2 linked regions of the Nothobranchius furzeri genome follow. The protein of the gene in region 2 interacts with the protein of the main gene of each other region in a biochemical or structural test. Links are inferred from orthologs where the notes say so. Each region holds a gene or a part of one and is shown on either strand. Other genes may lie near its edges. The genes, in order: pdk1 and rps6kb1b.

Evidence for each region.
Region 1: the proteins of rps6kb1b (region 2) and pdk1 form a complex in vitro, tested with the Homo sapiens proteins (2 studies listed by BioGRID and IntAct, with this or other methods). The link is inferred for Nothobranchius furzeri from reciprocal best matches to the Homo sapiens genes RPS6KB1 and PDK1.

The regions. Positions count from the first base shown.
Region 1 is NC_091754.1:20,878,430-20,882,674, reverse strand, and holds the start of pdk1 (pyruvate dehydrogenase (acetyl-transferring) kinase isozyme 1, mitochondrial), read right to left. Parts: upstream 2,905-4,245; 5' UTR 2,676-2,904; coding exon 2,567-2,675; intron 30-2,566; coding exon 1-29. Other genes in the region: nup62l (nucleoporin 62 like), read left to right, coding at 3,665-4,245. UniProt on the Homo sapiens protein: Kinase that plays a key role in regulation of glucose and fatty acid metabolism and homeostasis via phosphorylation of the pyruvate dehydrogenase subunits PDHA1 and PDHA2.
Region 2 is NC_091753.1:29,214,478-29,218,886, reverse strand, and holds the start of rps6kb1b (ribosomal protein S6 kinase beta-1), read right to left. Parts: upstream 3,085-4,409; 5' UTR 2,976-3,084; coding exon 2,907-2,975; intron 1,791-2,906; coding exon 1,747-1,790; intron 1,663-1,746; coding exon 1,542-1,662; intron 1,412-1,541; coding exon 1,343-1,411; intron 283-1,342; coding exon 135-282; intron 1-134. UniProt on the Homo sapiens protein: Serine/threonine-protein kinase that acts downstream of mTOR signaling in response to growth factors and nutrients to promote cell proliferation, cell growth and cell cycle progression.

The sequences.
Region 1 (4,245 bases), on a different chromosome or scaffold from region 2:
GGATGTTTTCTCACATGCGTTTTCTGAGCCTGAATGGAAAAAGAAACACAAGACAGCAATTTGGATTTCACTTCTAATTACACCTTGTTATGTGAGCCTGGATGGGTAAATAACCAACTTAAGATCTCAGTGACCCAGAAGGAAAACCTGCTCAGCATCACAGCAGGGGGTCCAACTACTTAATATAGCTGTATAATAGCAAAGATGAATTTACTGACAACATAGGGCTGGGCGATATGGCCTAAAATCACTATTACAATACATTGAGGAATTATTCTTTATAACAATGAATGGACAATAACTACATGAATGTGCAGAAACAAAAGTTGTCCACTAGATGGGGCTGTCACATTCATTTCTTGAGTCACGTTGTCATGTGGTCCAGCTTCTTAAAGGGACATGAACCTCGCCAAACATCTTTTTTGATTATCGAATTTATTGCCATGGAAAAATAAAATTCATATTGGTTAGTCAGAAATTTCAATAAGATACATTTTTATTTATCACCCAGCCCTATGACAACACATATCTAATTACACCAGAGATCTGATCATCCTGGGTTAGGGTCTATTGATGTCCTAATTATGAAGTTTTCCAACAAAAGGTACCATGCTAATGATGTTAACCGAGTAGGAATGTAAGAAAGTATCGATAATGTGAAATATCGCGATATTTTGTGTCATGACCCTTAATTGACATGTAAAAGCTGTATGCAAACATTTAATATATATTTTAGTGTGGTGCAATTCAAACTGACTGCTAGGTGGAAGGCAGAAGTTTATACTGCCTTTATTCTGATAGAATAAGGGATGTTTCTCAATGTCAATGTGCCGGGCCTCGCATGGCGATGTCTTACGAGGCCAGGCGTCCTAGATCAAAGAAAACAGTCAAATGGAACACTTACTTCACGTGACATGTATACTGGAAATTTGCCCCCAAAGTAGATGCTGGCTACTGAGCCGCCATCCTTTTGAAAATAACACGCTGCATTCTGGGAATTTTTTGACCAAGGCTAGGCTATTCAATTTTATTTATATAGCGCCAAATCTCAAGGCACTTCACATAATAAACATTCCAATCCAGGTCAGTTCATCCAATCAGAAAAAATGTTTCCTATATAAGGAAACCAGCAAATTGCATCAAGTTAGCAATCCTCATACTAAGCAAGCATATAGTGACAGTGGAGAGGAAAACTCCCTTTTAACAGGAAGAAACCTCCAGAGGATCCTGGCTCAGTATAAGCAGCCATCCACCACGACTCACTGGGGATCAAGAAGACAGAACACACACACACACACACACACACACACACCAAGCATGGTTGCATTGTGATTTCTTAGTAAATATTCTATTTGGTGAAAGATAAACGTTATTGTACTTATCCTAGTGAATCTATAATTAAATGGGTAAACTAGCAGTAGCACATCCAACGTCAAGGAAAGCAAAAAGTTATTATCAGGAGAGGGAGAATGTTTTAGTGGTTAGCAGCAGTGTGCTAGACGATGGCCCCATCCATGAGGCCACCACAGCTCAGCAGAACATCATTGTAGCTTCTTCTGGGGAGAAAAACACTTAGAGAAAAATTAAAGTTAATAGCTGAAATTGCAGAAAATAATACAGTTAAAGAGCAGATTGTAGAAGAAAGTAGTAGAGTGTGAAAAGTGGTCAGTGTATCCTCCACCAGTCTAAGCCTATAGCAGCATAACTACAGAGATAACTCAGGATAACCTAGCCTTTTTAGATGGAGGCATGTTGGAGGCAGGGCAAGGGAGAGCCGTCTTTACCGACTGTACACTCCACCTACCTCTACTCCCCCACTTGTCCAGATGTAGGCTAACATCAGATTTTAACCATAGGCCCTATCAAATAAAAATGTTTTAAGCCTAGTCTTAAAAGTAGACAAGGTGTCTGCCTCACGGACTAAAGCTGGGAGCTGGTTCCACAGGAGAGGAGCCTGATAACTAAAAGATCTGCCTCCTATCCTAATTTTAGATATTCTGGGAACCACCAGTAAAGAAGGCACCTCCCGTGTATTCTTGCTTAGCTAGCTAAACAGCTAACAAACGAAGAACAGACACCTCGGTAGCACATGATGATTGGAACACGCCTTGGCGGTACCTGATTACGTATCTCCTAGGCAACCGGGGCAGGACCAAGACATCAAGAAACACCGAAGAGTTTGAGATAAAACTGGGTGTTAATTGGCAAGTATCTAGCAATATAATATGTTGCTATACAGGAGAGACGATACGATATATTGAGATACTAAAAGGCTGACTATTTTTGCAATTTTTAAGTGAATTTAACTGGGAAAACTCAGACAATTCCAGTGTTTTCGCAAGATATCGGTCTGTCAGACTGAAGGAGGAAGAAACTGCTGCCACCTAGCTGTCAGTGTTTGATCTGCACCACACAAAAGAAATACAAGAAATGTTGGCATGTAAATTCTCAATAATAGATACTCTGCTTTTAAATATCGATTCTGTATCATAAACCGAAATGTTGTGATATTTCAGTGCATTGAATTATTTTTACATCCCTAGAGTGTTATATGAATACATCTCACCAAAATCCAGAAACTGCTTCATTGAAAGAGGGGAAGGAGAAAATCTGGAGTAATAATCGATATCCTTCCCTACTGACACGCTGTTCCTCAGAAACCTCAGAAGCCTCATGTTGACCGGGTTTACTAGTTATTCGGAGGAAGCAGGTGGCTTCCGAGCCACACTTAGTGTTATTTAACGACACTAGCTCGTTGAGCAAACCCAGCAGCTCGCAAACACGCTGTTAAATTTATTATTGTTCAGTTACGTTGCTAATTGATGCAGGTTCAGCATCCATAACTACGGCCGCGCTGCAATGTTTGTGTATCGTCCGGTGTGTACTTCAAGTGATCGCTGCTAAATCCACCGAAGCAGAAAAGTCAACAAGCTAATTCAAAGAGTTACTACAAAGTTCAAGAGGATTCATCGTTGTTGCCTGGCGTATACCGACACGAAGTTCTGTTGAAAGGCTGTATTTAAAATTATTGTCAATATTGACGGTAAATTGCGAAAATAAAGACGTATAAATGCACGATAATGTCCTAAATAATGTCTTTTATTCACGTGTGTATGAAAGAAGAAGAGTTGATAGTGCTCGTTATTCTGTAACTATCTTGCCTTTGCATACTCTTTGTAAAGGCCAAACTATATATTTTTCCGAATGTTTGTCTATCAGGCAGTCAAATGAGCCTATCATGTACCTCAAATCTAATCATAACTCTGATTGGATAAAACAGTTGCCAAATAAATTAATAGGCGGAATTATGTCCCTGCAGACAAAATTCAGGGCATACGAGAATGCCGCGTCTCGGGTGTCGTCACTTCCTTTAGGTGGCCAGATAATTGCCTGTTAAAGGAAATGTCGGTTCACAGGCCCACGTTTTTAGCAATGTGTTATTGATTTTGGCTCTATATTCCTCGGAAGGTAACGTTGATTAGCGTGTGATTTCATTCATTTCCTGCGTATCTGTGCAAAGTTACTTAAATAGACGCAGTGGGGATTTTAGGAACTTCAGTCGGAGGAGTTGGTCATAGCGACCCGCCAAAAGCCACAAGATTCGGCAAGGAAGTGGCCGTTTTAAACGACACGTAACGGCTGTGTTTAACTTCTTGTGAGGATAATGAGTGGCGGATTCAACTTCGGACAGAATGCAGGGTTCGCCTTTGGAGCGCAGAAGACCACTGCCGCTGCCCCCAACGCGGGTTTTACATTAACCAGCTCAGCAGCTCCGGGAGGGGGGTTCGCCTTTGGAAATGCCAACCAGACCAACCCCACCGCCTCTTTCAGCTTTGGCACCCCAGCCAAGAGTTCCGCAGGCGGCACGGGGTTGTCTTTTAGCACGCCTACTGCCTCGTTTGCTCTTGCTACCCCTCAGACAACACCGGCAGCAACAGGGTTGAGTCTGGGCTCTGCAGCAACTCCGGCTGCCGGGTCAGGGTTCACCTTAGGCAGCCTGCTAACCTCGCAGCCCCCAGCTGCTGCACCAGCAGTAGCAACAGTGGCACCAAGCGGGGGAGGATTCACCTTCGGTGCTCCCACACAAGTCCAGCCTCAGTCAGTGGTAGCACCCACAGCCACGACAGCAGCAAGTGGCATGTCCATTGGAGGGTTCAGTTTTGGTGCTCCCAAAGTCCAGGTGACCTCAGCTGCAGCCCCCACTGCTGCCACAGGAGCGGGATTCAGCTTTGGAACCCCTGCAAC
Region 2 (4,409 bases):
CTCTTTCAGACGTAGCGTAATCCAACAAATCGGCTGTTCAGTGCACAAGGCAAAGTTGTGACATTTGTCCCAAGTGAGCCAACGTAGCTGCTGTGCTGTCAGCAAGTAAAGGTGTTTGCTCAGCTGCTACTGACCGCTGAGGTACTCCAGGATGAGGTACAGCTTCCCTCCGGTCTGGAAGGCGTAGATGAGATCGACGATGAAGGGATGCTTCACCTCCTCCAGAATGTTCCTCTCTGCCTTGGTGTGAGCCGTGTCCTTGGCATTGCGAACAATCATAGCCTGGCGATCAACACCAAAGTAGAGATTAAAAAAAAACATTAGTTCATAGGAACACACGGACTGCTGCCCTGGAAGATCTTTAGCTAAACTCTTAGAAATGAAAAGTCTTCTGTGTTTTCTATTTGTTTAGAATTTATTACCTGAACTGAGAAACAAGTTTTTTTATTGTTGTATATTTTATTTGTTATAGCTCAACAAGCCAGACACAACGGTGAAGGTGGAGTTTAATCGACATTTCTATTTTAGTGCAGGCATATGTGCTGCAACCCAAATGCTTTTCTCTAACGACGGGGTTTCTCTCTCCGGCAGGCTGTTGCAGTCCCGTAACATTTTCAAATATTCTTGTATTCAAATTATTACCATTATGCCTATTTTGGACTTATCCGAGTACAAACAACCTTTAAATGATTACTGCCTTTTTAAAATGAATAAATCACATTTTTGTGGCCTGCGACAGCTTTAAACCTGACAATCCTCTTCTAATCTAGAAAAGTTTCAGCGCCTGCCCAGAATATTCTGCCTCTTCAGCTTTCAGCACCGCTGTTGATCGTATTTCTGTTTACTAAACACTTCGATCAGACAGCTGACTAGATGTCTGTCAACAATAAAAAGGTCTCAGAACGGAGTGTTTAGAGAAGTGAAAGCCTCTGATTCCCGCAGCTCTGGAACCACAGAATAATCCCATGGATGATGAACGTCGTTTCTCTAAGAAGAAACACATCTTAAAGCTGGCTTCAGAAACTGAGATTCTCCATAAATACAAGTCTGATTTTTTTACAGACACCTTTATATTTTACATTCATATATATAATTTCAGCAGATCCTGTGAGTTAATCGGGCCAACGTGGCTTCAGATGTTGGGCTGGAGCTGAAAGAGCCGAGGCGGCAGCAGAGAGGTGCAGATAGCGATCTATCAGCTAACCGTGAAGCCTAACCCTACCGCCGGCTTCAGCAGCAGCAGGAATGTCAGGATTTTTTTAAAGTATGTAAAATGATCATATGACACAAACTGACAAACGCTGGTTTCCAACAACAAAAATCCAACGTGACTTTTAAATACCTTTTTTAAAACTTTCATGGCAAATATCTTGCCCGATGCAGCTCCGACAACTTTGCGAACTTGGAAAACCTGAACGACAAGAAATGAAAGGCATGTTTCGAATAATCGTAATCAAGAAAACCCCTGGTCAGGTGACCAAGGCAAAAAAAATCCACCCACATCTTTCCCAGGAGTACTACGTGTTGAGTTTTTGTCCTACCTTTCCATAACCACCTTTCCCGAGAACCCGCAGCAGCTCAAAGCACTCCGGTCTGATGTTCTCCGCCCCCTGGTTGACGTTGTCCTCGGAGATCTCAATCTTCTCACAGCCGTCCATGTCGCTGCAGCGGAAATAAGGTTCAGGGTGCAGCGCTGAGTCTCGTTTTTTAACTTTGTTTGGTTGTAAAATGTTCAAAAAAACTTACAACTCAAATCCAGCGCACTGCTCCATAATGTCACTGATTTCAATCTGGCAGGGGGAGAAATAATTCAGGATCATGATATTTTACATTATTTTCTAAACAAGAATCCCAATAAGTCTTATTTCGGATATTTTGTGTTAACGTTTGGACCTTTAATTGACTTTTTTGTTTATCATTACTATTTATATAACTCAACAACTGAGAAAGTATTTATCTCAAAAAGATAAATATCCTCTGGTGACTCTGCAGCCTTCAAATAAAACATTGGTTGCTCAAATTTAATTTTATTTAGAGTTGAATTTAATTTAAAATTTAAAACATTAAGTTCAAGAAAATGCCAATTTTATAAACATATTGTGATAAAGTCACTTATAATAAATGTATTATTAGATTGTAATTTGCATGGACTGCTTTTTTGTGTGTACACCTACACCTTGTAGGTCTACGCTACTTAAACAAAACTAAAATTATTTCAGTTCAAAATGATTTGCTTTTAATTAGCGACTTGGAATATTTTTAGCTTTTTATACAGAAAATATCTGCATTGTTTCACTTTTTTGTCCAAATATATTCACATTACTAAGTAAAATCACCAGGAATCAAAGACTAATCAGCAAAAGGGAACATTTAATGTGTTTGCTGAACCGACTTCTCTATGTAGTGAGGGTTTTGTCCTGTTTGGGACATGCAGATGTACAAAAACATGCCTTGAACCAGCGCCATCTATGCTCCGTGACTCTGCGGTAGCTCTGCCTTTTCTATCACTGTTTGAACAGAAGCAAACGGGCAGCCAGCCTCTCAGCCCACACAGTCCCACTCTGTCACATCTTGCCAAAATAAACTGTTGCACCCGGAGCCGCATTTATCACCGCAGCACCTTTGGCCAAGTAAGGATGGTTTTCACAACTCCAGCATGACAGCGATGGATTAAAAACGTGACAGCGTCAACAGCTTATCGCGGAGTCGTGTTTGTTACCAAAGAAACACAGAAGAAAAGGCAATTCTGTCACGATTAAGGGTAACTCTCACTTTGCTGTGCGGAGGCCCGACCGTTCTGGCTGCACGCAGGAACAGGCCTGCGGTGGCTCCTGCCAAGCTACCATGCTAGCTAGCTAGCTACCGTGTGTCAAGAGTTTCTGCCGTGACAGCTTCCGTAAAAGTACCTCCTCGTTCTCATCATCGGAGACATTCTCCTCCGGCTGGTCCAAATCAATGTCAAACACTCCAGCCATGGCAGCGAGTCGCTCGAATCGCTCTGTCACAGACTGCAGGAACAGCAGGCGTCCCCCACCTCATGGACAAACATGCACGGCCACCATAACCGGCTACTATAGTGAGCATGCGCACTGCGGCGCTCACAACAAAGGGGCGGGAACTTGTTTTATTGTCTCAAGAACAGAAACTGTTACAAATAAAAGCACAAAAAAATCATTTCTGAGTATACAACAAGTGGATGTGTTTCTATTTGCTTTCTCTGGATGTTTTAATTCTCATTCTAAGACGGCACAAGATTAGCTTGGTAATTTCTTACATTCTTACAGACTTTCATAGGTCATTCAGCTGACCACAGGCAGTGAAAAATGTTAAGCGCCTTCTTTTAGTTTATGATTAGATGCTAAAATATAATAGTTTTCATTTGACAGAGGTTTAAAAACACAAAATTGGTTGTACATATATACAAGAGGGGATACCTGTGCACCATTTCTAGGAACTAGAAGTTACCCAAATCACAGCTGAGCTTCAGGCGCAGGTTTTAGTCTTATTTCCTGATATTTGGACATCTGGCCTTGGATTGGCTTACAGCAACGTGCCTCTACCACTTGCATGTGGATGTTTATCTCTACAAACAACACAGGCCTGGAGGAGCTTCTTCAATGTGAAGTTGATCGTGCTAATAATTAGCTTCTACTAGTTGAGATAGATGTCTTCTACTGATTCTCGGACATTAAATCTACAACATCCCCATCGTAAGTCAAGATGGGCGAGTCCATGAATGTTAAATGACACTGTGACGTGGATCAGTCAGGATTTTCAAATCCTAGAGTTTCACCGTCTGTTACCAGAAACTTATGCAGGAGATGGAGTAGAAGACTATTTTCATGTTCATCCTGCATGAAAACATCAGAGTGACCGATTATAATCAGAAATAATCATTAAAGGGATACTAGGCAGTTTAGCTTGATTTAAGCACCCCCTAGTGTCAGTTTGTAGAAGCGAAACCAAAACTCTCCTCGGTGTGCGTTCGCCTTTTTAATACCCGAATCTAACAGCTGAAACATCTCCCAGCGTTCCCAAGTGTCTAGAGGAGTGAATCATCACTAAATTAAACTCATCCGCTGTGTTCATGATCTAAAACAGGCAGGAAATGTACTGAAGCCAGATAGCAACGGCAGGTAGGTCAGCTCAAAAAGCCCCAACAGACCGGACCTGCAACTGTGAAGTTGCAAGTGGAATATTCTGGTCTCAGGGGCGATAGGGGTTGGGTGACCTTTCATTAACCATGTAAAGTGTCATTTTAGTACATACTGGCTCAAGAAAATGATATAAAAATATTAAAATGTTGCAAAGTATCCCTTTAAAAATGGGTTGTTTGTGTCCCACACTTATGCCAATTTTCAATTTTTTTATTGACTATAAACAAGGAGGGGAATTGATGCCCTCCAGAG